Nothobranchius furzeri: one gene and its partners. The protein of the gene in region 2 interacts with the protein of the main gene of each other region in a pairwise test. Links are inferred from orthologs where the notes say so. Each region holds a gene or a part of one and is shown on either strand. Other genes may lie near its edges. The genes, in order: banp, prkab2, stx11a, bend5, pias2, D-amino-acid oxidase and creb3l1.

What was found.
Region 1: the proteins of prkab2 (region 2) and banp interact in binary tests that used the Homo sapiens proteins (3 or more experiments, as listed by UniProt). The link is inferred for Nothobranchius furzeri from reciprocal best matches to the Homo sapiens genes PRKAB2 and BANP.
Region 3: the proteins of prkab2 (region 2) and stx11a interact in binary tests that used the Homo sapiens proteins (3 or more experiments, as listed by UniProt). The link is inferred for Nothobranchius furzeri from reciprocal best matches to the Homo sapiens genes PRKAB2 and STX11.
Region 4: the proteins of prkab2 (region 2) and bend5 interact in binary tests that used the Homo sapiens proteins (3 or more experiments, as listed by UniProt). The link is inferred for Nothobranchius furzeri from reciprocal best matches to the Homo sapiens genes PRKAB2 and BEND5.
Region 5: the proteins of prkab2 (region 2) and pias2 interact in binary tests that used the Homo sapiens proteins (3 or more experiments, as listed by UniProt). The link is inferred for Nothobranchius furzeri from reciprocal best matches to the Homo sapiens genes PRKAB2 and PIAS2.
Region 6: the proteins of prkab2 (region 2) and D-amino-acid oxidase interact in binary tests that used the Homo sapiens proteins (3 or more experiments, as listed by UniProt). The link is inferred for Nothobranchius furzeri from reciprocal best matches to the Homo sapiens genes PRKAB2 and DAO.
Region 7: the proteins of prkab2 (region 2) and creb3l1 interact in binary tests that used the Homo sapiens proteins (3 or more experiments, as listed by UniProt). The link is inferred for Nothobranchius furzeri from reciprocal best matches to the Homo sapiens genes PRKAB2 and CREB3L1.

Annotation. Positions count from the first base shown.
Region 1 is NC_091744.1:74,128,674-74,132,173, forward strand, and holds part of banp (protein BANP), read right to left. Parts: intron 3,334-3,500; coding exon 3,193-3,333; intron 1-3,192. UniProt on the Homo sapiens protein: Controls V(D)J recombination during T-cell development by repressing T-cell receptor (TCR) beta enhancer function. Binds to scaffold/matrix attachment region beta (S/MARbeta), an ATC-rich DNA sequence located upstream of the TCR beta enhancer.
Region 2 is NC_091751.1:56,442,070-56,446,140, forward strand, and holds the start of prkab2 (5'-AMP-activated protein kinase subunit beta-2), read left to right. Parts: upstream 1-1,271; 5' UTR 1,272-1,390; intron 1,391-1,450; exon of another isoform or gene 1,451-1,613; intron 1,614-2,591; 5' UTR 2,592-2,615; coding exon 2,616-2,774; intron 2,775-2,875; coding exon 2,876-3,033; intron 3,034-3,377; coding exon 3,378-3,471; intron 3,472-4,071. UniProt on the Homo sapiens protein: Non-catalytic subunit of AMP-activated protein kinase (AMPK), an energy sensor protein kinase that plays a key role in regulating cellular energy metabolism.
Region 3 is NC_091758.1:20,330,304-20,334,336, forward strand, and holds stx11a (syntaxin-11a), read left to right. Parts: upstream 1-1,233; 5' UTR 1,234-1,368; intron 1,369-2,486; 5' UTR 2,487-2,491; coding exon 2,492-3,361; 3' UTR 3,362-3,738; downstream 3,739-4,033. UniProt on the Homo sapiens protein: SNARE that acts to regulate protein transport between late endosomes and the trans-Golgi network.
Region 4 is NC_091748.1:56,169,897-56,173,396, reverse strand, and holds part of bend5 (BEN domain-containing protein 5), read left to right. Parts: intron 1-751; coding exon 752-900; intron 901-3,500. UniProt on the Homo sapiens protein: Acts as a transcriptional repressor.
Region 5 is NC_091757.1:20,892,958-20,896,950, forward strand, and holds the start of pias2 (E3 SUMO-protein ligase PIAS2), read left to right. Parts: upstream 1-1,193; 5' UTR 1,194-1,286; intron 1,287-3,993. UniProt on the Homo sapiens protein: Functions as an E3-type small ubiquitin-like modifier (SUMO) ligase, stabilizing the interaction between UBE2I and the substrate, and as a SUMO-tethering factor.
Region 6 is NC_091757.1:45,692,506-45,696,638, reverse strand, and holds the start of D-amino-acid oxidase, read left to right. Parts: upstream 1-1,333; 5' UTR 1,334-1,450; intron 1,451-1,835; 5' UTR 1,836-1,842; coding exon 1,843-2,036; intron 2,037-2,118; coding exon 2,119-2,233; intron 2,234-2,572; coding exon 2,573-2,649; intron 2,650-3,030; coding exon 3,031-3,096; intron 3,097-3,511; coding exon 3,512-3,566; intron 3,567-3,691; coding exon 3,692-3,796; intron 3,797-3,864; coding exon 3,865-3,947; intron 3,948-4,076; coding exon 4,077-4,133. Other genes in the region: ssh1a (protein phosphatase Slingshot homolog 1), read right to left, coding at 1-112. UniProt on the Homo sapiens protein: Catalyzes the oxidative deamination of D-amino acids with broad substrate specificity. Required to catabolize D-amino acids synthesized endogenously, of gastrointestinal bacterial origin or obtained from the diet, and to use these as nutrients.
Region 7 is NC_091754.1:48,074,172-48,077,671, reverse strand, and holds part of creb3l1 (cyclic AMP-responsive element-binding protein 3-like protein 1), read left to right. Parts: intron 1-2,890; coding exon 2,891-3,023; intron 3,024-3,500.

The DNA of each region.
Region 1 (3,500 bases), on a different chromosome or scaffold from region 2:
TTTCTGAGTATTTATCTTTGTTTTGAATAGCTGCAATAACAAACAAACATTTTTATAAAGGAAGCATATTTGTCTGCTCATATAACTTATAAGAGCATTAGAAACATCAAAAATATCATGTTGTGGTACATTTATTTTAATACTTCAAGGGTCCCTTCATTAATACTACTTAGTGATTTTTTAGTCGTGAATAAACTATCTAATAAAGTATTAACTGCTTACTTAGCAGACAGTTCACTAGCTGTCGGTTGCTGTCTACTTGAATAGTGTTTTTCCACAAATGTGAATTCCATAACTGGATGTACTGTACAGTTTCTTTCTCTTTCCCCCAAACCTATTGGTGTAAGAAGTGTGTTTAAATTAAAAACTGATGATAAACCACGTGTCAAAAATGAAAACATTACCAGCTTGCAGACATGGTCTATGGAAGGCAAAAACGTCACTGAGTGTTAGCCCCTACCTTATCTCAGAGATGGAAACAATTAAAGTAAAAAGAGAGGAAAAATGCAGAGACAAATAAATACATCAGACTGAGTAATTTTTCAGTAAGCTTTATAAATGCAACCACATGTCTGGAAAATGATGAGAGCCCTTGATTTAATATTGCTCAAAAAGGTTGAATGAGCAGCACTAGCCTTTGTCTTAACTTTGGCCCACAAAAATACTATCCAGGATATCAAAACACAACTGTGATAACAACACATCCATCTTTTTAAAAGCTACACACTATTTTGAGACTTTTGGAATTGTTTTTATTATATATGTTAGGGTGAAAGGATCACATTGAACCACTAAGATGCATTCTTTAACACTTTTTTTCCCTCCAAATAACATTTTGGAGTGTTGTACATCGATCAACAAAAACCGCCACATGGCCTTAATGAACCTCCAGCTACACCAAACAGCACATGGATGAATGATCAAACCATTTCTGTTGAGATCCAAGTTCAATCCAACGTTATATCCAGCTAAAAGAAGGGGGCTTTAAAACCTGAAAAGTCTGTTTCAACAAATCAGTTGTGTAAACAAACAGTCTGATTGCGCCAAAGAGCATGAAGCGCACATCTACGGAGACAGAGTGGTGATCTTTGTGGACGTGAATGAATACACATGAAAAATAATTTGAGAGTTATCAGTTTGTGTGGTGCTCGCCCAAAAATCACGATCAATATCAGCGTCTTCCCAAACACACAGGCACCGAACCAATTACCTAGTCAACTAAGGACAACAAAAGGACAACAAAACAGGATCTTTTTGAGCGGGCAAAAACTTCACAGGGAAAATCCAAAGGTTGCTTTCTGGCTGATGAGCACATCTGCTGTCTACATGAGGTGAAAATGATCAGAGTACAAGATACGTCTACAGCGGAATTAAAAACTGTCGTAAATAATCTCTCAGCTTTGTTTATGTAACAACAGAACAACAAACACTCGACTAAGAATTTAAACAGCACTGATGGCCCTTACTGCTTCACTTAAAGGGAAAAATGAAATGAGACATTTGATATTTTCAGGGAGAACAAAAGAAGAAAAAACAATGCCAGAGAGCTGTTGTTTTGAATCCCTTGACCACTTCAAAGGCCGGCCCGCCGTGTGCCTGCACACCATCTTGATTCAACGTGTTGCTGTTGCTCAAAAAGGGGTTTCACTAAATTTCACCTGTTTCACTTCACAAGACTTAGTACATTTTTTAGTTTAATTGCTGTTTGACCATCTCCCAGAATGGCTGAACATTAAGGGTACTTTCTTCAAGAAAAAAAAAAAAGACAAAGCAGAATGAAAAAAGTAAAGATGATGACGAGAATCTGCAACTCCATGTCCAAGGCATGGATGTTAGTGAAATAACATCCATGCCTGGTCTATTGTGTTCAATAGTCTATTGTGGTCAATCCACCTCTATCTGGTCTTGGCCAGATAGAGGTGGATTGCCAACTCCGGTTTGGAGGGACTTACCTCTAGTGGAGGAGTTTGAGTATCTCGGGGTCTTGTTCAGTGAAAGATCAATCAGCAGATTGGAGCATTATCTACCGTGATACAGACACTGAACCAGTCTGTTGAGATGATGAGGAGCAGTGCAAGAAAGCAAAACTCTCTATGAAGTGGTTGACCTTTGTTTCAATGCTCACCAATGGTCATGACTGGATCAGTCTTAGTGACAGGGTGAGGAGATTGAACCTCCAGAGAGAGACTTATAGAGTCTTTGCTCCTTCTCATCGATAGGAAACAGCTGAGGTGGTGTTAGTGCACTTGGTCAGAAAACCTTCTAGATGCATTCCAGGGGAGGTGTTTTGAGCATGTTCTTCCAGCAGGAGGCCCTTGGGTCAATCCAGAACACAATGGGATGATTGTATCTATGTTGGCCTTCAAACAGATCGGTGGAGGACGCAAAGCCTCTCTGCTGGGGTGGCTACCCCTGCGACCCTTACCCGAATACGAAGAAAACAATGAAAAAACAAACCAAAAATAGTAAAATAATAAAAACACAGTAAATGTTCACCTTGAGTGTAAGACTGGGCGATAAAACAAAAGCAATATTAAATTCAAAATAACTTCACCATTTGAGAATGGGTTGATAGAACTTCGACATTAGTTGAGCCACGCGGCTCAGTATCAGCCAGACGGATGCGCTGCTAACGGCTAATGTTAGTGTAGTTCAACCTGCTGCTGCAGTTAACAGCTTACATGGCTGGTAAAAACAGATTAAACAAGCGCCCCAAACGGAAAAAATGAATGACGTTGAAAATAAGGGACCAAACATTTCTGTCGTGTGAACGTAGTTTGGCTAGCATCCGTAACTGCAAAGCTAATGTGATGAGTGCAGGTTCTGAAAAACTCGAGGGAAACCACCAATCTGTTTGAGCTCATAAACCAAATGTCATCGCTGTCATCTCGTCAACAACTCATTAGTCTTTTGCTACACGATTTCAACAATAGACGAGAGATCATTATCAGTAAAATTAACAGTACAACTTAAAGACAACTCACAATAAATAATACAACTCAAATTGAATATTTACCATCAGTGAAGAACAAGAGGTAAGTAAGACAGCAGTTTTTATGAGCTGTCTGAAAACAAGCATTACATAAGCAGAGGTCTGTTTGATCTTTGGTATTTTAAGTGCCTTTCTGCCGCAAACTTAATGTGGTAATAGGTGCCTGAAACAGTTTGTTCTGGTTTGTGGTTTTGGTTTACCTGAACAGATGATGCATGGTCTGCAACAGGAGCTAGTTGGACGTACTGCACCTGGATGTCAGGTGGGAGGGATGAGCCTTCCACCGCTGCGGCTGCGCCATCAGCTGATGCTACAGCTATCAACTGAGCTCCACGCAGCACCTGGAACGGTCAGTAAGAGAGCAGAACCGTCGATTAGTTTGGCTTTTTCTCATCAAATGCAATTAATGGTTTCTGAGTCCATGCGACCATGCTTTTGGATGTAGGTTTTGCCATTTTACTAGGTTGCAACAGTCTTCCAGGTCTGTGTTGTTTCACATCAAAATGAA
Region 2 (4,071 bases):
AAAGAGGACAGTGAGTGGTTTCTCTTTACATTTCTGATCAGCAGTTTGAATGAGACCCAAGCTGTTTTTATTCAGAGTTAATATTATTTATGTTTTCTGAAATCTGATGTAGACAAATGACTTTATATGCATGTTTGAAATCACTAATGTCTTTAATAATAAGCATGGATTTGTTGAGTTGAGAAGTTGCTGTTGTTAAGTTAACTGCGGGAGAAAAAGGTGAGGAGTCGAACGAAGCAAAACTAGTTATTAATGTGTTTACAGAAAGGAAACCCAATAGAAACGTAGGCAGCTAATTTTGCATTTGGAGGTTCTGGTGACTTCTTGCTTATAAGTGGTAATTTCTGTTTTTTTACAGTGACTGTTCATTGGTGTAACAGGTTTTCTACTTGTCTCATGGATAAATAAAAAAACTCAAGATATTCTGATATTTTACCTTATTATCTGCATGAGCGCTTAATGAAATTTAACTTAAGTATAGCTTAATGAATTGCAACTTGAGGAGGAGACCAATTTAATGCTGTTTTTTTTTTTTTTTTTAGTATTTATTCTTATGGAGAGTGTCAAACATTGGTTGTAAGAATAAAAGGTCTGCAAAGTTTTTAAGCCAAAAATCAACACTGCCTGGTCTTTTTTGTCCCTTCTTTGTTCTCATCGGTATGGACCTTATTTGCACGATGTTTGCTCCATGTGATCAGCTCAAACTAAACAATCAGCTGGCTTACCCTCCACCATTTTCACCTGAAATAATCAATGGAAATAGTGCATAATTTCTGTTTTTATTTCTCAGGATCTTGAAAAATTTTAGTGTTATGATACTGAGATGTTAAAATAGTTATTAATGTTAACTAAAGTTTAAAAGTGCCCATTTAAAGCAACAAAGCATTAAATTAATATAATCAGCTTATAACATCTGAAAAATGTCTTGGGCAACGCAATGTATTTTGTTAAATATTCTAAAGCATTGGCGCTACTAGTTAAAATAAAGCTACTTTTAAACTTCATTGTGAATAATGTGATTTTTTTTTCAGAATGGAATTTGTTTACTTTGTTTCTTGCCTCCAAACGTAAACTACATTGATTCTAATACTTCAATTTCTATTTTTCCTCTGTGTGCGTTCTATAATTTTTTCATACAACAATGAAAAAGTTTAATTTTCGTTGAAAGAGGAAAACAAACGTATTTATTTAGATATTACAAAGGTAACAACCCCTCAAATGTAACTGACGTCACGTCTCTTCCCGTTCCTGATTGGCTAAAATCACTTTTTGGCCTCTGCGCTCGCCGTACTCGGAGCCCCGCTGTGCTGCTGTTGTGAAAAGTGGAGGACGCGGACAGGTCTTCGGTTTGAAGACAAACTGCTGTCCTGAGGAGCGGCAGCTGGTGCTTGTGAGTGTCTCCTTTGTAGCTACACGGGAAACCAAAAGCGTTTCTATTTAGCTGCATAATTTGTGTCGTTAGCAGTCATTATTAAAGCAGACAAGTCGTTTTTGTTTGTTTGTTAGTAGTGGCTGCTGGTAGCTAGCTAAGTTGAACTGCGAGCAGCATCTAAAAATATTCACCCTGGCTGAGCTGAGGTGGACAGGAACAGCCTGACGTCCAGCGGGCAGTGGTGGGTTACGTTGACTTTATGATACGGCACATGTGGTTTCACCTGTTGCTCATGAAGCTAGAAAAGCTTTTTAAAGCCGTTAAGCCTTTGGGCTAAACCACACAGCTCACCGTTGTCATACGCAGCAGTGATGCACGCACAGTTCCAGTCATTTTAACACATCAGTTACTGTGTTTTTGCAGCAGTAACACTGGACTGTGGACAGCTGTTTGCTGTCATCACGTTCTGATACAAACTGGGTCTCTTCATGACACCTTGATCTCCTGATTGTGATCCTGTTGTCTGTTTAGATGTCTTCAGCAATGGTTTGGGTCAGCTGATCAGGCATGGGACTTGGGTTAGTGGTCAAATACAAATATTTAACATTTTTATCTAATATGGGATTTTAAATAGACTTCTAATTGGACTGATTTATATATTTGTAAAGTGTAAAATCATAAACTAAAACTTTTTTGTGTCTTTGTAGTATCTTGATTCACATGTGTTGTGTTAACAACAGCGTTATACATTTGCAGGGTCTCTAGTGTAATGTAAGGTGCAGTTCTGGGAAACATTGGTGGAGTTTCTTTGCTGGCTGGTTCTAGTCTATTTACTGTATTACAATTTTATCTTGCAAATTAAAACGAGAAATTTAAAAGCCATTTATTTACCTCAAATAAATGGTAAATGGCCTGTATTTGATATAGCGCCTTCTAGAGCCCTGGAACCCCCCAAGGCGCTTTACAACACAACCAGTCATTCACCCATTCACACACACATTCACACACTGGTGGGGATGAGCTACGATGTAGCCACAGCTGCCCTGGGGCGCACTGACAGTAACAGACAAATAACTTCTTTTTAAGTTCCCTTGACAAAAGGCAAATTTCTTACTAACAAAATTTTAGTTGCATTTTAAGCTGTGGTTGTTAGTGTCTAAACGGCTGGAGTTTTGTAAAATTGGATGTTCATAGCAAAACAATTCTCCTGACCTTGCAGTGGGAAGTCAGGCTGTGAGGCATCATGGGAAACACCAGTGACAGAGTATCTGCTGATCGCCATGGAGCGAAGGCCCAACGCTCCGACAGCAGTGGGAGTCACAAGGACCAAGAGACCAGCAGCAAGTTGGTGGACAGCACAGATGACCCTAACATCTTCAATACCCATGGACCTGAGTCAAAGGTAACCCTCCGGCAATTCCGACTAGGGTGCAGAATCGTTTCTTTGCTCTGTGTGATCAGTTTTCTGAATATCTATTGATGTTGCACGTTTGCTGCTTCTAGACATCAGGAGAAAAAGAATTCACCCCAGATCTCGACGACTTGGTTAAAACTGGTCCTCAGGCTCGACCCACTGTAATCCGCTGGGCTGGAGGGGGAAAAGAAGTCTACATAGCCGGTTCTTTCAATAACTGGAGCACAAAGATTCCACTAAATAAAAGGTAAACAAATTATTTTGTAATTCTATCTCACTAGGAGCTAGCTCAGGGGTGGACAACACTGGCCCTTCAGGGCCACTATCCAGCATGTTTTAGCTATTTCTCTGCTCCAACTCACTTTGTTTAATGGTTGTGTCACCTGCTCAGTGGCTTATTTAGCTTGTTAATCACCTGCTGATCAAAATCTGTAGTGTTGAAGCAGGGAAACGACTAAAACATGCTGGATGGCAGCTCTCGAGGACCGGGGTTTTCCCCCTCTGAGCAAGCTGCAGGAGTAGAGATCACTTAAATGTTTTTATTCAGTTTAGATTATCTGGTGTTGCACTTAAACTCTTTTCTTTTTGAAGTCACAATGACTTTGTAGCCATTCTGGACCTGCCTGAAGGAGAGCACCAGTACAAGTTTTTTGTAGATGGACAGTGGCTCCATGATCCATCCGAGGTACAGCAGACCCACCTTTGCTCTGCTTGTTTTTCTTATCATTCACCATATTCTCAGTGCCTCCTAAATTAGTCTAAATGTCTCAGAACAGTCAGTGTGTTTACATGCACATCAGAAAACCAAACTGTTGCCCTAAGTAGACTGACGTGATTTTTTAAAATCACGTAAACATGTTCGTCTTGCTGAAGGTGAACTGGTTGTTATCGTAACCAGATAATGCGGTAGAACACAACTGCATCTGCATGTAAACGGCTCCGCCAAGCTGATACTGGTAACTGCTGAATGTGACGAGTCTGCAGAAGTGGTCTTCTGACATTATCACCACAAAGTAACAAGAACCAGCCGTCTGGACTTTGCGCAGCTGAACCGAAGTAGTAACTGGATCTCTTTGACTTTGACACCGCTCGTCTTTGGAGATTAACGGATGCTCCGCTTATTCTGACGAGCAACGTTAACAGAAACACAAACTAATGACATTAGCAGCTGCCCGCTCCAATTGCACAAAAACGTTTTGTGAAATTATTGTAACAAGACTGTTACCGCGGGTTACAACAGAACTACGCACCACACCGGCGTTATCACTTTCATACACATTTATTT
Region 3 (4,033 bases), on a different chromosome or scaffold from region 2:
GATAAGTATACAAACAAATTGCATACAAAATTGAACAAAGAAGATGAAACATATGCCAGGGGGTGCACTACAGAAATGTTACACACATCCAAATAAATTACAGGTGGTGCAAATAGTTATAGTTTTTAAAGCTTTTTTGTTTAGTGATCCACTAATCAATTTTATGCAAGATAGAGTGTCACTATAATAGTGCTTGAAATTAGGTTTTTGGTTACTATACTTGCATTTGTGGAGATAGAATTTAGCTAGATTAACAAATTTATAACAAAGTATACATCTTCCTTTCTCTGCTTGCGAAAAAAATACAGCATTTTCCCATTTTAAAACGAAGTCCTTGCAGAGCTGTCCGATAATAAATCTGCTAAAGTCTTTCCAAAACGTTGTAGCATGTGAACAGATCCAGAAGAGGTGGGATTTGTTGTTTTATTTGGTTGTGGAGAGTAAAGATTTTCTGTCCTCTGCTGGAAACAAGTGGGTACTGCAGCGTTCAATACAGCGTTTAGTCCAATTTACAGGAAAGCCAGAGCGTCTTCACTTATATAAACTACTAAAACGCAATAAATCAATTTTAGTTATCTGTGTTCAACTCGATTAAATCAAGGAGCTGCAGCAGGAGCTAAAAGCAGCTAGCCACAGCACAGCAAATAGAGCAGATCTACCGCCCTCTGGCGGCCACAGGGCGAAACTACACGGCAGAAGGGTTTGTTTTTTGGCAATGTAAAACAGTTACGAAATTTTACCAAACTAATCAAACATGTCAGATATAAAAATATTGGTTATGAGTTCAACAGAACAATAAGCACCCAATTGCATCTAATAAACACTCAAACATTGATACATAGATTTTTTAAGGTCCTTTTTTTGTTTCAAACAGGAAAAGCATTACGTCTTTGGATTTCACAATGAATGTATGAAATACTCAAATAAATAAAATAAAAACAAATACTAATAAAAAACGCATGCTAAAAAGCTACTGAAAATCTGAGTAAATCACAACAGCTGATTTAATTTGATGAATTTGTTTATTCAGAAAAATGATATATGCAATCAATTATAATTACGTAACGTCATTTTAACATTTCTAAATCACCCTTATTCACAATACATTTTAAGTAAAAGCTTTGAGTTCAGGAAGAACTTCCATTCGGACCCCTTTGATGGAAGTTCTTCCTGAACTCAAAGCAGGGTTTGATCTTCCGCGTAGTTGGTCTCGCGGCGTCAGGAGGCTGGTGACACTCACACCTCTTTACTCAGACTGTGGTTGATGTTGGTGAAATGTCTAAATGTAACCGAGACACAAAGAGGAAACGGGTCTTTCTTTTCTTCTGTTTCTAAGGAGAGTTCTCTTTAGGAGGGCACCGCCATAAGGTACGTTTACTTCTCTGGTTTTATCGCCTCAAGTAACCTGGCGTAGTTTACAAGACTCCTCTTAGTTTCTTCGTTTACCTCCTCCCATCAGATCACTAGATGCTTATTCGTTTCTGTTTTGTTCATAAATACTTGAAATAGTTTGAAGTAGCTACACAATGTGAGTAGCATGTGGAGGACAGATGAGACTAACTAGCAGCTGAAAGCGTCACAATCTGAGGAAGTAACAGAGCAGTTTCCTTTTGTAGACATTACCGCCTGAAATTATTTCTAAACCATCAGTTTATTTATTTATTTAATTATTCATTCATAACCAGAGAAGCGTCCACACCTATTTTATCTTATCGCAACTCAATCAAAACTAATTAAAGTGAGAGCAGTAGCAGCTTTATGACGAGATAAGTATAATAAGAGTTGAATGGTTTTTAATTAGGTGTGTTTATATGGTTGATCATCATTTCTGTAACCAGGAAGAATTTGGTCGAGTCCAAAATGCATAAAGATAAAAATGAGACATTTTTGAATGATTGCCCCACTTTTATTGTTTCCAAAAATAAAATGGTCCATATTACGTCACAGCCAGTGAGTAACAGCAGCAAAAAGCTGATTCTAAATGTGTCATAGCAGCTTATAAGAGTTTAATTAGGATCTGTGTTTTCTAGGAGGGCTCTGGTCCAGCTTGTTGTCCGAAGGCCACCTCTGGTTTAATGCACCAAATAAGACTAAATGTTACCACATTTCTCGGATCACTTTGAAGATCTTACATAATTTCGAGGAAGCTTAAAAGCCCGTCTCGTGTTGATAATCATGGCCACATGATGATCAGCACTGTTCCTCTTTTCTGCAGCGTTATTATTTCCTGACAACCTGAGGAACCTCCTAAGATGCTGCTTAAAAGAGTGTTGTGTCAGATATCTGGAGTCAGTCTGAAAGCAGATCTTGTTTTTATTGTACTCTATTACTCTCCTCGTCTCTTAAGTTACTCAGAAGACAAAACTGCAAACTGGGCCTCAAAGATCTTTGTCTTTTGGAGATATGTCCAGCTTCCGCTCATCTCAGAGCGACGGAACATTTCATATATTTTAGAAAATAACAGATCGAACTGACTCTTGCTGCAGGTGAAATGAAGGACCGACTATCTGAGCTGAAAACCGTCACCCCGGAGCCTGCTGAGGAGGAGCTTAACACAGTCTTTGAGGATGAGGAGGTCGCAGAGTCACTGGCCATCGTGTTTCAAGGTGAAGATGTGATGGACGGCATCTACAAAGATGCCCAGATGATGAGGAAGGAGCTGCAGCTGCTGAAAATTGACGTGAAGCGTCTGGCGAAGCAGAACACGCGGTTCCTCACGTCCGTCAGGAGGTTTAGCAGCATCAAGCGGGACTCTAACGCGCTCGGCCGGGACATCAAAGCCAGGGGGGAGGCCATCTACGCCCAGCTGGAGAAGCTTGGAAAGCTGAGCAAAAAGCTTGGAGAGGAACACGGCTTCACGTCGGCTCTGTCTCGTATGGTGCGCTCACAGTACACTTCTCTGACTCGGGCCTTCCACGAGGCCATGTCTGAGTACAACGAGGCCGAAATGATCCAGAGGGAAAACTGTAAGACCCGCATTCAGAGGCAGGCGGAGATCATGGGCAAGGAGGTGACCAGGGAGCAGCTGGACGAGATGATCGAGAGCGGGAAGTGGAACGTCTTCTCGGATAATCTCCTTTTGGAGGGGAGGACTACCAGATCTGCTCTGAGCGAGATAGAGAGCAGACACAAGGAGCTGCTGGAGCTGGAGGGTCGCATCAGAGACATCCACGAGCTCTTCTCCCAGATGGCTCAGCTGGTGGAGGAGCAGGGCTGCATGCTGGACAACATAGAAGCAAACGTCTGCTCTACTCAGGACTACGTTGCCAAGGCAACGGTTCAAATCACACAGGCTAAAGAATACAGTGAAAACAACCCATGCAAGAAACTCTTCTGCTGCTGCTTCCCGTGCTGTAAATGATTCTTGGTCAGATTTAAACTGGAACTCTTTATAATTTTCCTTTTACGGGGTCAGCGTCAGACATCTCACTTCATTTTCACGTACTGTGCTGGTCTGAGAAGGAGGAAGAGTCATTTCAAACCGCGCTGTTCACATACAAATGCATTCAGTTGTAATCGAGTTGTTGCATTTCCTGATCGTAACTGATTATTACTTTCTGCAGCACCCACATGACTCCACGTCTCATCAAAGATATGTCATTGCAGCTTTTTATGTCGGGTAATGCATGTTTCATTCAGTAAAACTTGATTTATTTCTAAATTACTGCTTTGGAATGAAACGGCGACCATTAAAATGGGAGAAAAAAAAACAAAAGCTGGAGCTGACGTTGCTGCAGCTGTTGGCCAACAAGTGTGTAGAAACACAAATATTAGTGGTTAGCTGGGAGATAAGCTGCGTTCGTGTTGAACAACAAGCCTCGTTTTGCTCCAGCTTTATGCCGGAGCTTTTGTTGCTTCATATGAGATTAGCTCCAGCGTCTGGAGTCTGATTGGTGTCATGTTACATCCACACAAGCTTTTCTCTCAGGCGTGTACCTGAATCAGTGTCAGTACAAACACTCAGAGCCAGAGCAGGGGACTTCCTGTTGGTACCAGAGTTCTTTGGTAATCTGGATTTTTTCTCAGATTAGGG
Region 4 (3,500 bases), on a different chromosome or scaffold from region 2:
TGGTTGTAAACAACAAAGTGCGCATGTGCCGCCGGCAACTTCAGCAGATGATACGGTGGCTGGTAAGGGTCACCGCGCCTACACCGCATCCACGGTAATCCACCGAGATAATTTTTTTTTTAAAATAAGACGGTTATTATTATTGTCAACCTTTTTACCGGGGTTTACCGCTACACCGGTTACCGTGACAACCCTATTATGTAACATAGATAAAAGATAAAATTTTGATTGGTTCATTTCTAATCTGGCAAATCTAATGTTGAGTTAAATGTATGGGTTGTGTGTATATTATGTTGACACTGCTGTGTGTCCAAGTCCTTAAGCTCCAGATGCTGTGGTAAAGATCAGACCCCCCATGGATCCAAACAGAGGTACCTGTTGGGCAGACCATCTAATGGACAGGCTAAAGATTAGAGCACCATGGGATTCTGTCAGTCAGGAAGTAGAGCACGCTGACCGATATTAAAACTCATCAGCTGCATTGGAGCTTAGCATGGCCAGCTACCAAGCCAGCTTAGTTACTGGGCTAAAATAACCTGCTGTCTCAAGCCACAGGGAAGCCCAGGCCTGAGGCAGGAATAATGTAAACAGGAAGTTTTACAGCAGGAAATAAAGGTGGCAATGGCTTCTAATCAATGGCGTGCTTTTCCAGTAACTGCTGTATTTTACTTTTGTAAAGCTGGTAGATGATTAATTCAGCGCTTAGACGTGTATTTACACAATGTTAAGTATTTTTGTTTTTGCGTTCTAGAGCCTATGCATGACAATGGCACTCAGACAATCAAGGCTGAAGTGGTTGAACCTATTGTTGAGACCCAGGAAATGTGCAGAGAAGAAGCCAACACAAGCTCCAGCTACTCGCCCTCACCTAGAACAGTGTACACCTGCAACGATGGGAAGGTAAGACTGACTCCACTGAAAGCACTGTCCTCCACATAGTGCTGTTATTTTTACCTTTTGATCTGAGATTCAGTTAGCTGTACCAAACTTTATTTGTCTTCTGCGTGGTGCTCCTTGTTGGCCGTTGTAATGTTTATTGTGTCAATGTTCCATCTGCAGTAAACCAGAACTTTGGTTTAAATAAAAACAATCTATTTTATGTCTGACTTGACCTCTGATGTGGACGCTATAACAGAAAAACTGTAAGTGTAACCTTAGTATCCTCTAATGCCAACGTACTGTATCTCTGGCTATTTGTTTGTGTGCGAGCATAAAAAGAAGCATGATTCCTGTAGGAAACCGTGCTCTCCTTGCTAACAACCACGAAAGCAGGAGCATGCTGTTGAACTCGATCTGTTCTTTCCCCTTTGCTTCCCTGTCCTAGCAGGTAAACAAGGTTGAGAAGATTATTATTGTTCCTGCCAGCCTAGCCAGCGTCATCAGTGTTTATTAGCCTGTTAGGGTTCTTTCCTTCCCTCACTGCTGTAACTCAACCAGCATCCTGTCTCTGATGACAGGAGGAGAATTGGTACTACAAGCTCTGGGGCCTTCAGCCACTCCAAGCGTGAAGAACACTTGCAAATTAGAACACTCCTACATCAGGGAACCCATATTAATTATTTGCACAAGAGGAATTTAAAGTGACTGACAGGTTAGCCCTAGTGAGAGTGCACCAAAGTGTTGGGAGGATGAAAACAGTGTGGTCTAACTTAAGGGCAGTAGAAAGCTTGTCTGCTGGCCCGCGGCGTAAAGCACATTAGCTGCACGGGGAAAGCTCCTGGATGCTAGACTAAAGACTTTACAGTGATAAGAGAATAGAGGCAGAAAAGAGTTACATGTGCACTAGATCACCTAGAAGACCAGGGCAGCCTGTTGGCTCTGATGATCAGCTTTGAGTCATTTGTGGTGATTTATGCTAGGTGCGCTAATAATGTATAGAAGGGCTAAGATCAAAACGGAGCTGATCCATGCTGCAAACGTTGACCCACGTTTATTATCTCAGCACGTGAAAGATCTTGTGCATGGCTGAGATGATCTGTCCTGACTGTCAACTAACTGAAAGATCTTTAGCGTCCACTGTGCTTATTTAAAAATTGGTACTACCTTAAACTCCTGTGGAGATTTAGGACAGCACAAATAAGCACAGCCCATTCTGTTCTGTTGGCTGTAAAAAACATAAACACATGGCTCATGTGTCTCTTTGACAGATTTCCAGAGGAGACAGCACTGAGACCATATCACTGAATTTTAGATCTTTGTTAGATGAAGTATTTGATATTGTGTGTGAGCACATCAGTATCAGAGTTGATTTACTTGAGACCGTGCCGTCTAAGATCCCACAGAGCTGATAGCTCTGAGGGGGATTAGCTACGCTCTAAGAGTTACAAATGGCTGTTGGACCATCAGGAGGACAACACACTTATATTAAAGCTTCACTTGGCCATCCTGTTTAAACCTGCAGTTAGGAGTCAGCGGTGGCTGATACTGGTGTCATCTACCTGAGCTTGTTTTACTGTCCTGTTACTTCATATGTTTTTTTAAAGAGCTTATTTTAACTTTATTGCTTAGATTTGAGATGTGACTCATAAAGGCTTTTATTATTTCTGTCACATGCAAAGCCAAGTGTTTTGATGATAACGTTCCAGACAGAAATGTTCTTAACATTACACAAATAACATGGCATGCCCAAAGACTTTGTAGAAAGTTTGTGGAAATAAATGTATTAGTATGTTAGTTTCTTTAGGTCTAAGGCCATGTACACACATAACCAGGTTTTCTAAAGCCAAATATCCTCCCCCACCCATCTAGAAAAAACCTTGGGCCAACCCCACAGATTCATAGGCATGCCAAGACTGTAGGTGGCAGTAGTTCTCCACATCGCTGGCATCTTTGCTGAAAAACATTTTTGGGAATAACTAGTTGGTGGGCAATAACCATCCTTAACATCATTTGAGTGTGGTCTTCTAAATAGAGCAGTAATCACGCTTGTAAAAACAAGTAAGCAAGTGTAAACAGGTCGCACAGGTCAGAGCATGTTTTTCGCGGCTAGTGATGTTGCGAAATCTATAACCCCAGTTAATTACATCCACGAGCAAATGCTGACAACAGAGAATTCACAAATCTTTACTTTGTTCAAATTTTTTGAATGAATCATTTTTGGTGTCCTATATCTTCAATGTTGTGTGGATCACAGGCCAAACCGTAGAAAACATGTTCACTTTTTGTGATACCCAACTACGTGTGTATAGGGTCTAAGAGGTGGTAGACACAGTGAGCCTCCACTTAAACGTCTGCCTATAGGGAACATGGAGGAAACCAAGTGTTACACTAAAGTGGCTCGGATTTTTAGTAGTCTGGAATAGCAAACAAAACAAAGGTATTGTTTTTAATGGTTGCATATCATGCTATTTTAAACCTTTGACAACACATCGGCCTGAATTTATACCCAGAAGTAAAACGTTTAATAAAACGCCCACACCCGCTGCGGCAAAACGTGCCTACATTATTGTCTTAGGCAAGGTGTTTACTGTATTGGCTATGGCAGTCCAGTGGTGAAGGCA
Region 5 (3,993 bases), on a different chromosome or scaffold from region 2:
CAAATAACAGATTTACACGTAAGTAGTTTAAATAGAGTGCTGTGCTGTTTGAATGTATAAACTGAACGCCAAGAGAAATCACTAGTTTGATTTTTTTTTCCGTGAATAAAATAAATATGTCAGGCAGGAACGTCTCAGGATCTGTCTGAGAGCTGTCTCGGTGACACAGATAATTGCAATCCAAAGTGTTTTTGATGTGTGATCTGACACTTGATCAACCATTGCTTAAAAATTAAATACAGCTTAGCCGGTTAATTGCTGTGATCATAAAACACGGAAACGGCAGCACGCAGAAATCACGAGGCAACGTTTTACGTGATGTTTACTTGTTGCTATGAGTAATAAGACAGAAAAAGCCACGCCAAAATAAGTTTAGGAAGCCCGCTAAGAATCGTAATAAAAGCATTTAAAAATAAATACCACACACAGTTGAGGAAACGTTAGTTTAAGTACCTGATATGAAGCGGTCGCTGCATAAGTGAAATCCTTTACTCTCGGGGTCCCACAGCTCCATTTTAGCCCGGTCACCAGTGCATTTTATTACAATGATCCAACGTTTGCGGCGTTCCGGATCTTGGGGAATCCTGTAGAAGGATCTTCCCTTGACTTGTCCCCGTCTGTTCTGGCATCCTGGGGCACAACAGGAATCGACCATATTTCCCGTGTGAGATTTATAACATAGTCTAGCTGCCGGCTTCTGCCTGCCAAAATGGTGCCGTTTCGATTTGAACTGTTGCATGCTGGGAGAAGTGACGTCAACTCCCGGAGCTCTATAGAAAAAACAAACACATTCAATTCATTGTTAACAGTTTGATAATTTTTGGGAAATTCTTTATTCACAAATGCAGTTTTATGAAAGTGAAGCCAAGCCTGTCATTTTTCCAAAAATGATTTTATTACTTTTTGCAAATCCCTTAAAAAGGTAAATAATATACAGGCTGTTGAACTTGTCAGTGTTGTTGAAGATCTTTTGAACTAAAGTCCTCTGTCTGTTACTTTACCTTATACTTTATCATTTATAAATCTTGTTATTTCTGCAGCTTAGACATTTTTCCAATTGTATTTGATAAAAGCTGTTCGTTGCCTACTGAGTTTTATTGTTTGTTATTAAAGTGTAATGTGATTGATGTTCAATTAAAAACAAGTTTCCACTTCCTGTTTCTGGTTCCGGTCTTTCAATGCACTTGGCGGCGATAACGTTCTGTTAGGGCGGGTCAAAGACAACCTCCGAGAGTCACGAAGAAGAAATGAGGCATATCAAGATGGCGGACTACCGAGAGTTACAGGTAAGTGAAAACATTCACATTAATTCTGACAAATTTCAGTCAACGAAGCGCTTGCTGTTTCCCTTTAAACGGAGCGTCTCCTGTGTGAAGCCCCTTATCTCTGGTTGAGACACTCAAAACTAAACACGGGTTTAGTTTCGACTCGGATATTTGGTGCTTTTTGGTTAGCTCTTATGCTAACAGATGTGTTGTATGTGTTTGTGAGCCGCTGAAAACCTCCCGCTAGAGTGTACTTGTAGCTACCGTATTACATACACGTTGTTGAATACAACCAGGGTTAGGAACAGCTGGTTATGCGGTGTTTGGACGGAGTACTTGTTCTGCTAGTTAGATTATGATTACACATAACCGTGACCTTTCGAGTCAGTGTAACCAGTCCAGGAGAACACTAACCCTGCTTTCCAGGGCCACTATCCTGCATGTTTTGTGTCTCTTCTCCAACACGTTAGGTTGTAGTCTATGGGCTTGTGCAGCGCGTGATGAACTGCTGAACAGGTGATTCCACCACAGAGAAATAGCGAGAAGATGCTGGGTTGGGTTATAGAAGCTATTTATGACAGCTTACAGTCATGAAGTAGAATAACAAAAATAATAAGGCATTTTATTTAAGCTCACTGTACAGAAGACGGTGTCGGTACAGGATCTGCTCGGGTGCAAGATCGGCTCGGGGTCCGTCGACTGCCGATGACGTCAAAGTAGTTGATTGGCTGAACATGAACCTCACGGAATTACGTAATCACGTTACGTTGTTATCACGTTACGTTGGTCCAGGCAAATCTTTCTATTGGAAAGATGGACAACTTTTACAAAGAAATCCATCATTACCTCTTTGAAAATACACTTTTAGCATAGAGCTGCATGCATATTAGGGCTGAACGATTAACTGCATGTGCAATTAAATTGCGATGTGACAAAAGGAGGGGGGGGTTGAGTTCAGATGGTGCTTGCACAGGTGCATGCAGCGAGCTGCTCGTCCTCTTTACGCAGTGGAACCTTGGATTTTATTGGCTTTTTATGTATTTTTGTTGTGTCTAATGCTTTTTTGAATGGTGTGGCTTCTCTGGTGACTTATGATCGAACTGCGCTGCTGAGGCTTCGTCCTGTTGATGTAGCGGGCGCTGCACGCTGGGAACCTCACGGATGGTGTTGTTGTTTGGACTGCCCGTGTGCTCTCCCCCCCCAAGCCGAGATGTGTCGGCCCTCTGTCCGCCCCAGCTCGAGAAGAAAGCATCGTAGAAGACGGGAAAGCGAGGTAGCCGGCGCATGTTACCCGACATGGGCAACAAACAAAGGAAAACAACAACAGAAAGAAAAGAACAACCAAAGCAAAGAACCAGAAACCCAGAAAGACAAGAACCAAAACCAGTGATAACCTTACCATGCATCAAAGGCATAACAGAAAAAATAAGAGCAACAATGAAAAAACACAACATAAACACACCAACAAAACCATACACAACAGTTAAAAACAGACTAGTACACCCAAAAGACAAGATACTAGCTGGACTTAAATGTGGAGTCGTTTACGAAATCCCATGCAAACTCTGCAATAAAACATACGTAGGAGAAACCGGACACCAACTCAACACACGAACAATAGAACATATAAAGGAGTGCGAGAAAGAGGCAAATCGAAAACACACAAGAGCAGCAAAAGAAGAAGCAGAAAGCACAATAAAGAAGTCAGCCGTAACAGATCACTGCACAAGAGAAGAGCATATAATGGACTGGGACAACACAAGGATCATAAAAGAAGCTATCGAGATAAGGAGACGTGGATGTGGGACCATGAACAGAGACGATGGTGTTTACTCGTTGGATCGCGCATGGGACTGCATCGTCGGAGAGGGGAGATCGGGCAGCAGAGGGCGACAACGTCCTCTGCTGCCCGAGGATAAACGGAGTAGGAAGTGACGCCACCATCAGCGTAGGGCTGGGCGATATGACGATTTTAGACTGTTTTACGATCTATACATCTGACGGTCTGTCATTTTTGAGAGACCATTTTATCACGATTCTGCTGTTGAATTTCTGCCTCTGAATGAAAAGGGAACTTACCCCAGGCGAATGACACGCCTTTGTTTGACCCTTAACCAATCAGAATGAGTCATAGTAATATATTAGTGCCCCGCTTGTTTTCACCTGTGTGTGAGCAAACATGGCTTCGGCTGCGGCTGAGAGCGACAACGAGGTTTTCGTTCCGAAGAGGAACACCTTTTCTATAGTACCGACCGAGCACCGATTAACGTCATTTCAAACGGTGCCTCGTTTCGGTACCCGTCCTTCATAACGAGAACTTGCCAAGAAAGCTGCGCATACGCAAGAGCGTTATGTCGTCGGTCCCTGCGAGCGAGTTGTAATCAGAGCAGCATGGTAGAAAGAAGAACGCACGCTAACGCTTGGGTCCACTTCACTAAATGTGACGGGTAACTGGGTGATGAAACCAGCGACAGACAACGATCTAAGTGAGTCATCATCTTAATCTGCTCTGGTAGGTAAATAAAATGTTTAAGATAACGTTACCTTGATATGTTAGCTTCCGTTTTGCTAATGGTGCGTTCGCTTTCTCCTCGGAACTCCGAATTTCCGACTAGATGAACATGAACGCGCTCTAAAGTTTGGCTTCACTTTACTAAACGTGACCGGTGATTGGGTGAAGATGAAACCAGCGACAACGATCTAAGTGTGAGGCATCATCGTTTTAATC
Region 6 (4,133 bases), on a different chromosome or scaffold from region 2:
ACCGCTGTATTGTCACCAACGCCATGGCTGGTAGCTGGGCAGGAACGGACCAAACACCGGCCACTGGGGCCTGGAGAGCTGCAGCTAGCTGCCGGGCTAACGACACACACATACAACTGAGGGCAGGAGAGAGAGAGAAGCCGTGTTACTATTCTGCAGGATGGACTCTCTCTCTCTCTCTCTCTCTCTCTCGTGTGTGTGTGTGTGTGTGTGTGTGTGTGTGTGTGTGTGTGTGCGAGCGCGCGCATGCGCAGGAAGTGATGCGTTCACAGCCCCATCACACCCTGACGACAGCACAAATTAAAACGTTCACTAGTTTATTCAGGTTCATTTACCTATAAATTTAGGTATAACGATGCCATATTTTAAAATTATTAAATTTAAAATTATTATTTATTTACATACCCTTACACAAACACAGTAAATCATTGACAAAATAAGGAAAATGAAATACTTACATGAAAAAACTGCAATAACCTTAAGACAATTGAATTTTTTATTAGTACAACTGGTAACATGGAATTGTTTCTTCTAAACTTGATCTTGATTTTAATGCTACTTATCTACCACTGTTCTGTCAGAGTACTTTTTGTCTTGATCCTGTTTCCATTTAATATTGGTTGTTTTCCATCTTTTTATTTTACAGAGCACATTCCTTTGGGAACATGCTCCTAGTTCTCTTCAAACTCTCTGTTAATATTCATCTTAGCTTCTTGCTCTCTCAGCTTTGTTCTCATAAGTTGGATGGATCCATTGCTTTGTCAGTACTCTTGATTTGGTTTGGTCAATTGTAATTTGTAATCTTCCTGCCTTCTGCTTGTTTATCATGCTCCAAGATCACCTTGAACTATGATGTGTGAACCACAGCTGTACTAAAACAACATATATGAAGACTCCTTGGTACAGCTGTAACTCTGGTTATTCCACTTTAATTGCTATAGTTGACCTTATTGCAGCAACGCTTATGTCTACAAGCAATTACCAAGGCTTCACCATCATCATCTGTATCACTTTTTGGCTGCTGTTTAATGTAATCTATCATTTTAATGATAAATGACCCACATGTATAGCGCCTTTCTGAATCAGAGGAATCTAAAGCGCGTTACACTACAGCGTTTCATTCATTCATTCACACCGATTCACACACACCTTCACACACTGATGATGATGAGCTGCAATGGTAGCCACTCTGCCCTGCTGACAGAGGCGGAAACAGTTGAAACCTTCAACCATATTAACTCATACCACCTTAAAAATGACAAATAAATGCATGTTTTAACCCTTTCGTGCAACAGCTAGCATTTGTGTCCCTGTGACATGTTAGGTTTTGGTTTTTGTCTCCTCATTCTGATTGTGTTTTAGACCGAGGAGACGTGAACGCAGCAGCAGGCTCCGCCCTCCCATGTGATCCCCAGTGAGAATTCCTGTGGTGGCCTGAAGCTGATCTGAGGTAAGGCTAAACTTTTCCGACACGTCTGCTTTATGTATTTCAGTAAATGATCTTGACACTCTGTAGCTCTTGCAGCTCTGTCGCAAGTTTTAGTAACTTTCTATAATTCTGTTTATTCTTGAAACCAAAAATCCATATTTATCTTGCATGTTGCACAATCCATTATGCAGGGTATCCATGACTAACTTTCAAATTATTATCATGGGGATTCATTTCTTAAATCATGTCAGTTCATCTCTAATTTCATTCACAACTGTCTAAAATAATCAGCATTATAATCAGATAGAAATAATCTAATAGAATGGCAGCTTTTCCAGACTTAAATCTCCTCACCACCTGTTCGGAGTGTACCTGTGCACACAGGTGGGTAACAGTTGTGTTTTAGTGCAGAGATGCGGGTGGCAGTGATCGGAGCTGGAGTCATTGGCCTGTCAACAGCTCAGAGCATCTACCAGCAGTTCCACTCCACAGTCAGTCCTCTGACCATTGAGGTGTACGCAGACCGCTTCACTCCCCTGACCACCAGCGATGGAGCCGCTGGCTTCTGGCAGCCCTACCTCCACGATAAGGGCAACATCCAGGAGACGTGAGTGCAGCCTCTGCTCCTGCAACCTTAGGTTCCTCTCTACTGACTCCATATTAACCCCCATGTGTGTCATCACCTTTAGCATGTGGAATAAGATGACCTTTGACTACTTGCTGAAATGGCTCAGCTCTCCGGATTCTATAAAAATGGGAATCTTTCTTCAGTCGGGCTACAACCTCTGTGAGGAGCCTACTCCGGTTAGTGCTGCTTTGATCTTTGGAAATGTGTCTATAAATAGGAAACATAAGAGCTGTCCATAACTTTTTACAAGAACAAATAACCCCTGCAGCGAGAAAGTGTAACAGCCAAATAGATCATTACATAAGTTTATCAGTTCACCATAGATAATAAAGTCCAACGGTTTTCAGGTGAACTCCAGTAAATCGTTGTTCAGCAACACAAGGGATGGTTAATAAACACCAATCAAGAGGCCTCAGTCAGGGTTAGGTTTGCACCAATGGAGATCCTTAATGCTAACTCAGCTGTGTGTTTCTCCTGCTGTGGTCTGAGTGTAAATAATTTGTTACTGACTGCAGGAGCCTTCATTTAAGGACATCGTTCTGGGCTTCAGAGAGCTCACTGACAGGGAGCTGCAGATGTTTCCTGGATACAAGTGAGTTCTCCCTGCGAGACCCGTTAAACTAGAACCGCTGCTGTTTTATATAAGACCAGGGTTAATCTGAGTGGTGCAGTGAACTCATGCACGAATATGTGTGCCATCATTATCAGTATTTAGATTTGCACAAACAAAGCCACAATTGCTTAACTTACATAAACATTTATTTATCATTACAAACTTGAACACTCAAAAAAGCTAGTAAAACAATTTAAATGAACATTTTTGGTCTAAATAAATTGTAGCAGCTGCTGTGTTTATATTTTTCCCTGTTTGGTAATAGATTAAATAAGCACCAATTACTGAAAATGGGACACAAAAATGGACGAGTTGGTCTCCTTCATGTCCAATGTTGACTGACACGCTACTTTTGTCCAGGTATGGCTGGTTTAACACAGCCCTCATGGTGGAAGGTAAATCCTACCTACCGTGGCTGATGGACTGGTGAGTGAACTCTCCCGTTTTTCTGCGGTTGCATTATTCAACATTTAATGATACGAGGTCATTTAGTTTGGTGCATTTGATATAAAAGCTGTTTGGGTCGATTTGTGCTCCTTTTTTCTACTCTGATAAAAACAAAAACGGCTGTTTTACTTTATCCACAGACTTACATATAAAATGCTGCGTGCATTATTGGGTTGCCATCTGATAATTAACTATACACATGACCTTTTTTTCTTTTAAATTTCAATTTGATCTTGTGTAATTTGATTTTATTATTTACTTTTTTATCATTAATAAAAAATGTTTTGTGCACATGAGCATCTTGTGATTTTTATCATGAAAAATCTTCCATTTTCTGTTTTTTATTGTGAGTAAAATATTTTTTTGTTTTTATAATGTTCAAACTTTGTTGTAGGTTGAAAGAAAGAGGTGTCAAATTTCATCACAAGACGATCAAGTCCTTTAAAGAGGTCAGTGGGTGTTTTTCATCACTACAGATGAAAAGAGCTGCTTCCATTCAAACATCTCATCATGTTTTTATTCAGAATGTTATCTCGTAACAGTTTTGTCTCTAACTGCCCCTGGCTGGTTTTAGCTGTCTGATTCGGGGGCAGACGTGATCGTAAACTGCACCGGGGTCAGATCAGGAGAGCTCCAGCCGGACCCGGATCTTAAACCGGGCCGTGGCCAAATCATAAAGGTGAGTGCGAGAAGCTTTAAGTTTATACAGAATGCATCAAAGCTCTTTAACTTTTCTTTGTGTTTAAGGTGGACGCTCCATGGCTGAAACACTGGATTATCACCCACAGCAATAAAGCTGGAACCTACAACACTCCATATATCATTCCAGGGTAGTTCCCGTAACACAACGTTGATTAAAAACTATACAATTCACGTGCTTAATTCGTTTTTCTGACCACATATATTTGGTTTAGAAGCAGAAAGTGAAAGAGCAGTTGTCATCATTTCTGTGTCTGCAGGAGTCGTCTTGTGACAGTTGGAGGATGTTTCCAGGTCGGGAACTGGAGCGAACAGAA
Region 7 (3,500 bases), on a different chromosome or scaffold from region 2:
GCCAGCTCCTCCGGGGGAATCCCAAGGCGTTCCCTGGCCAGGTGAGAGACATAGTCCCTCCACCGTGTCCTGGGTCTACCTTTAGGCCTCCTCCCGGTTGGACATGCCCAGAAAACCTCACCAGGGAGGCATCCAGGAGGCATCCTGACCAGATGCCCAAGCCACCTCAACTGGCTCCTCTCGATGTGGAGGAGCAGCGGGTCTACTCCGAGCCCCTCACGAATGGACGAGCTTCTCACCCTATCTCTAAGGGAGAGCCCAGTTACCCTGTGGAGAAAACTCATTTCGGCCGCTTGTATCTACTGTCTCATTCTTTTGGTCACTGCCCAAAGCTCATGACCATAGGTGAGGGTAGGAAGGAACGTAGATCGACCGGTAAATCGAGAGCTTCGTCTTCTGACTCAGCTCTCTCTTCACCACGACAGACCGGTACAATGCCCGCATCACTGCAGATGCAGCACCAATCCGCTATCAATCTCACGCTCCAGTTTTCCCTCACTCGTGAACAAGACCCTGAGATACTTAAACTCCTCCACTTGGGGCAGGACCTCATCCCCGACCCGGAGAAGGCATTCTACCCTTTTCCGAATCAAGACCATGGTCTCAGATTTAGAGGAGCTGATACTCATCCCAACTGCTTCACACTCGGCTGCAAACCGCTCCAGCGAAAGCTGAAGATCACATTCTGATGAAGCCAACAGAACCACATCATACGCAAAAAGCAGAGACCTGATCCTCAGGCCACCAAAACGGATGCCCTCCACACCTTGGCTGCGCCTAGAAATCCTGTCCATAAAGGTTATGAACAGAATCGGTGACAAAGGGCAGCCTTGGCGGAGTCCAACACTTACTGGGAACGAGCCCGACTTACTGCCGGCAATGCGGACCAAGCTCTGACACCGGTCATACAGGGACCTAACAGCCCGTATCAGCAGGCCTGGTACCCCATACTCCCGGAGTACGCCCCCACAGGGCCCCCCGAGGGACGCTGTCAAGCGCCTTCTCCAAATCCATGAAACACATGTAGACTGGTTGGGCAAATTCTGCACCTGACCCCTTTGGCCCCTCCCACGAGTGGTGAGCCCATGGGAAGGGGGCCCAGCCGGGCTCCATGGGTGAAAGCCCGGCCACCAGGCGCTCGCCAACATGCCCCACCTCCAGGCCTGGCTCCAGAGGGGGGCCCCGGTGACCCACGTCTGGGCGATGGAACATGGTTTCCATTTATATAATTCATCATAAGAGGTCTTCGGGCTGCTCTTTGTCTGATCCCTCACCTAGGACTTGTTTGCCATGGCTGACCCTACCAGAGGCAGAAATCCTCAGGCAACTTAGCTCCTAGGATCATTGAGACACTCAAACCCCTCCACCACGGTAAGGTGGCAGCCCAGGGAGACTTGGGAGATGTTCTCTAGCTAAAGGCTTCCTTTCTTCTGGAATTTCGTTGTTCCATCTTTTCCTGTTTTTCATTATAAGATGACTTTTGAATTTGACCACTAATACCTTTATCCCTGTTTACATGTACGTAAGAAAGCGGAACTCTCAGGTGAAGTTCGTTCCACCCCGGTACAGTAGGTAGTGTTCTTCTGGTTAGCTTATAGCAATGCAAATAGTAAACAAGCACTGGTGGGAGTGAAGCAGACCAAGGCAAAGCGGGATATGATCAAAGGAATGGACAACAACGACGCTGCAGCACAGCTCATTTGGAATTTGTTTCCACCGGGAACGGAGCAGCGCGTCTCGATAGCATACCAGAGGCAAAGTGTCGCAGCATTGCTCTGAGTTTTTTACGTTGCAGTGTAAAGCAACTTACAAAACAAAATACCTGTGCAGATTTCCTATTGGTTAACCTTAAAGTGACAGTGTGTATTTTTCCTGGTGATAGGGGCAGTAGATGCCTAAATTGTTGCAAGCAAGCTGCATTTTTGTGCTGTAGTAAGACCTTACCAACGGATGCCTATTAGGGTCAAAAAGCCCTTGGGAGGGTCAAAAAGCCCTTGGGAGTGCAAACTTGAGAAAAATAACAGGCACATCAGACTCCCTTTTAGGGCTGGACGATATGGACCAAAACTTGTATCTCTGTTGGCTGAATTCCGATATACGATATATATTTTGATATTTTTCCTCCTGTAAAACATTAACAAGTTAACTCACTTCAAGCTGAGAAATTATATACATAAATCAGTAGATTAATGCATAACAATGTATTGATTCTTGTCAAACTTTAACCTCGGTGCCTATTATCTGGTACAGCTGTCTGCTAACACACACACACACACACATATCTTGTCCTTGGGCAAGACACTTAACCCACGTTGCCTGCTGGTGGTGGTCGGAGGGACCGGTGGCGCCAGTGCTCGGCAGCCTCAGCTCTGTCGGTGCGCCCCAGGGCAGCTGTGGCTACATCGTAGCTCATCACCATCAGTGTGTGAATGGATGAATGATACACTGTAATGTAAAGCGCTTTGGAGTCCTTACTCTGAGAGGCGCTATACAAGTGTGGGCCATTTATCATATTTCCAGAGATTAACAATAAAAACTACACATTGTCCCTTTAAAACAGGTGTCATAAAGCGATGAACAAAATAAAACCAAAAGCTATCTTTCTCCTTGCTTGTTATCTAGTGAAATCACATGTGATCTTGTCGTTCTGTGATTCTGTGATAAGAGGAATGCATTTGCAGCTGCTGCACACCTGAAACAGTCATGATAGGAAGCGACGCATCGGTAAAGTCATGGCGAAAACGTGTCTTTTACCGTAGAGATCCGGTGGAAAACCTGGGTTAGCTAATGTTGGGTTGACTTAAGAAAATCCATCTTCAACCTGCGACTTCACCAAGATTATTATGAATCAGGCTGTCATACGTTAGTTATTGCTGTTTTTGTGTCCCAGCCCTTTTCAGGTGACCAGATGGACGACTTCAGCACTGAGTTATTTAACAGTTTCTTTGACGACCACCTGCAAGAGCGCCCCCTGCTGGCAGACAGATCTTCTCCTCTACACCTCAGCATGGACAGCAGCCCAGGTGAGTTCAATAGAATCAGCACAAAACTCCTGACGGCTTTAAAATAAAAGAACAAACCCAAAGAAAGTGGAAACACGTTTAAAAATTAACCATTTTATTCAAATGCATTAGTGGTTTTGTTTTGACTTCTAAAATAATGTTTGTTTTCTGGATTAGCACGAGCCCTTCAGCAGCCAACTTTAGGCTTATAAAAGACGTTTGTTTTGATATGACAGCCCAGGCACCTACTGTATCTAAACGTCACGCCTTCCTGACGTCACACCCAGCTCCTTCCAGACCTCAGAGGTCAGACATCATGATATAAGAGGCAGCTTCTTTGTCTTTGCCAAGTTTGAGACCTCCAAACATCTGCCGTTGCCCCCAGAGGGATTCATGCTAGCCTCACTGGATGCAGGACCCTGGTTTTTCTGCTCAGTCTGTCGTCATCTCGCCCATCTCATCACCTCACATCAGTGTCTCTGTCAGGTGTTGCCATGG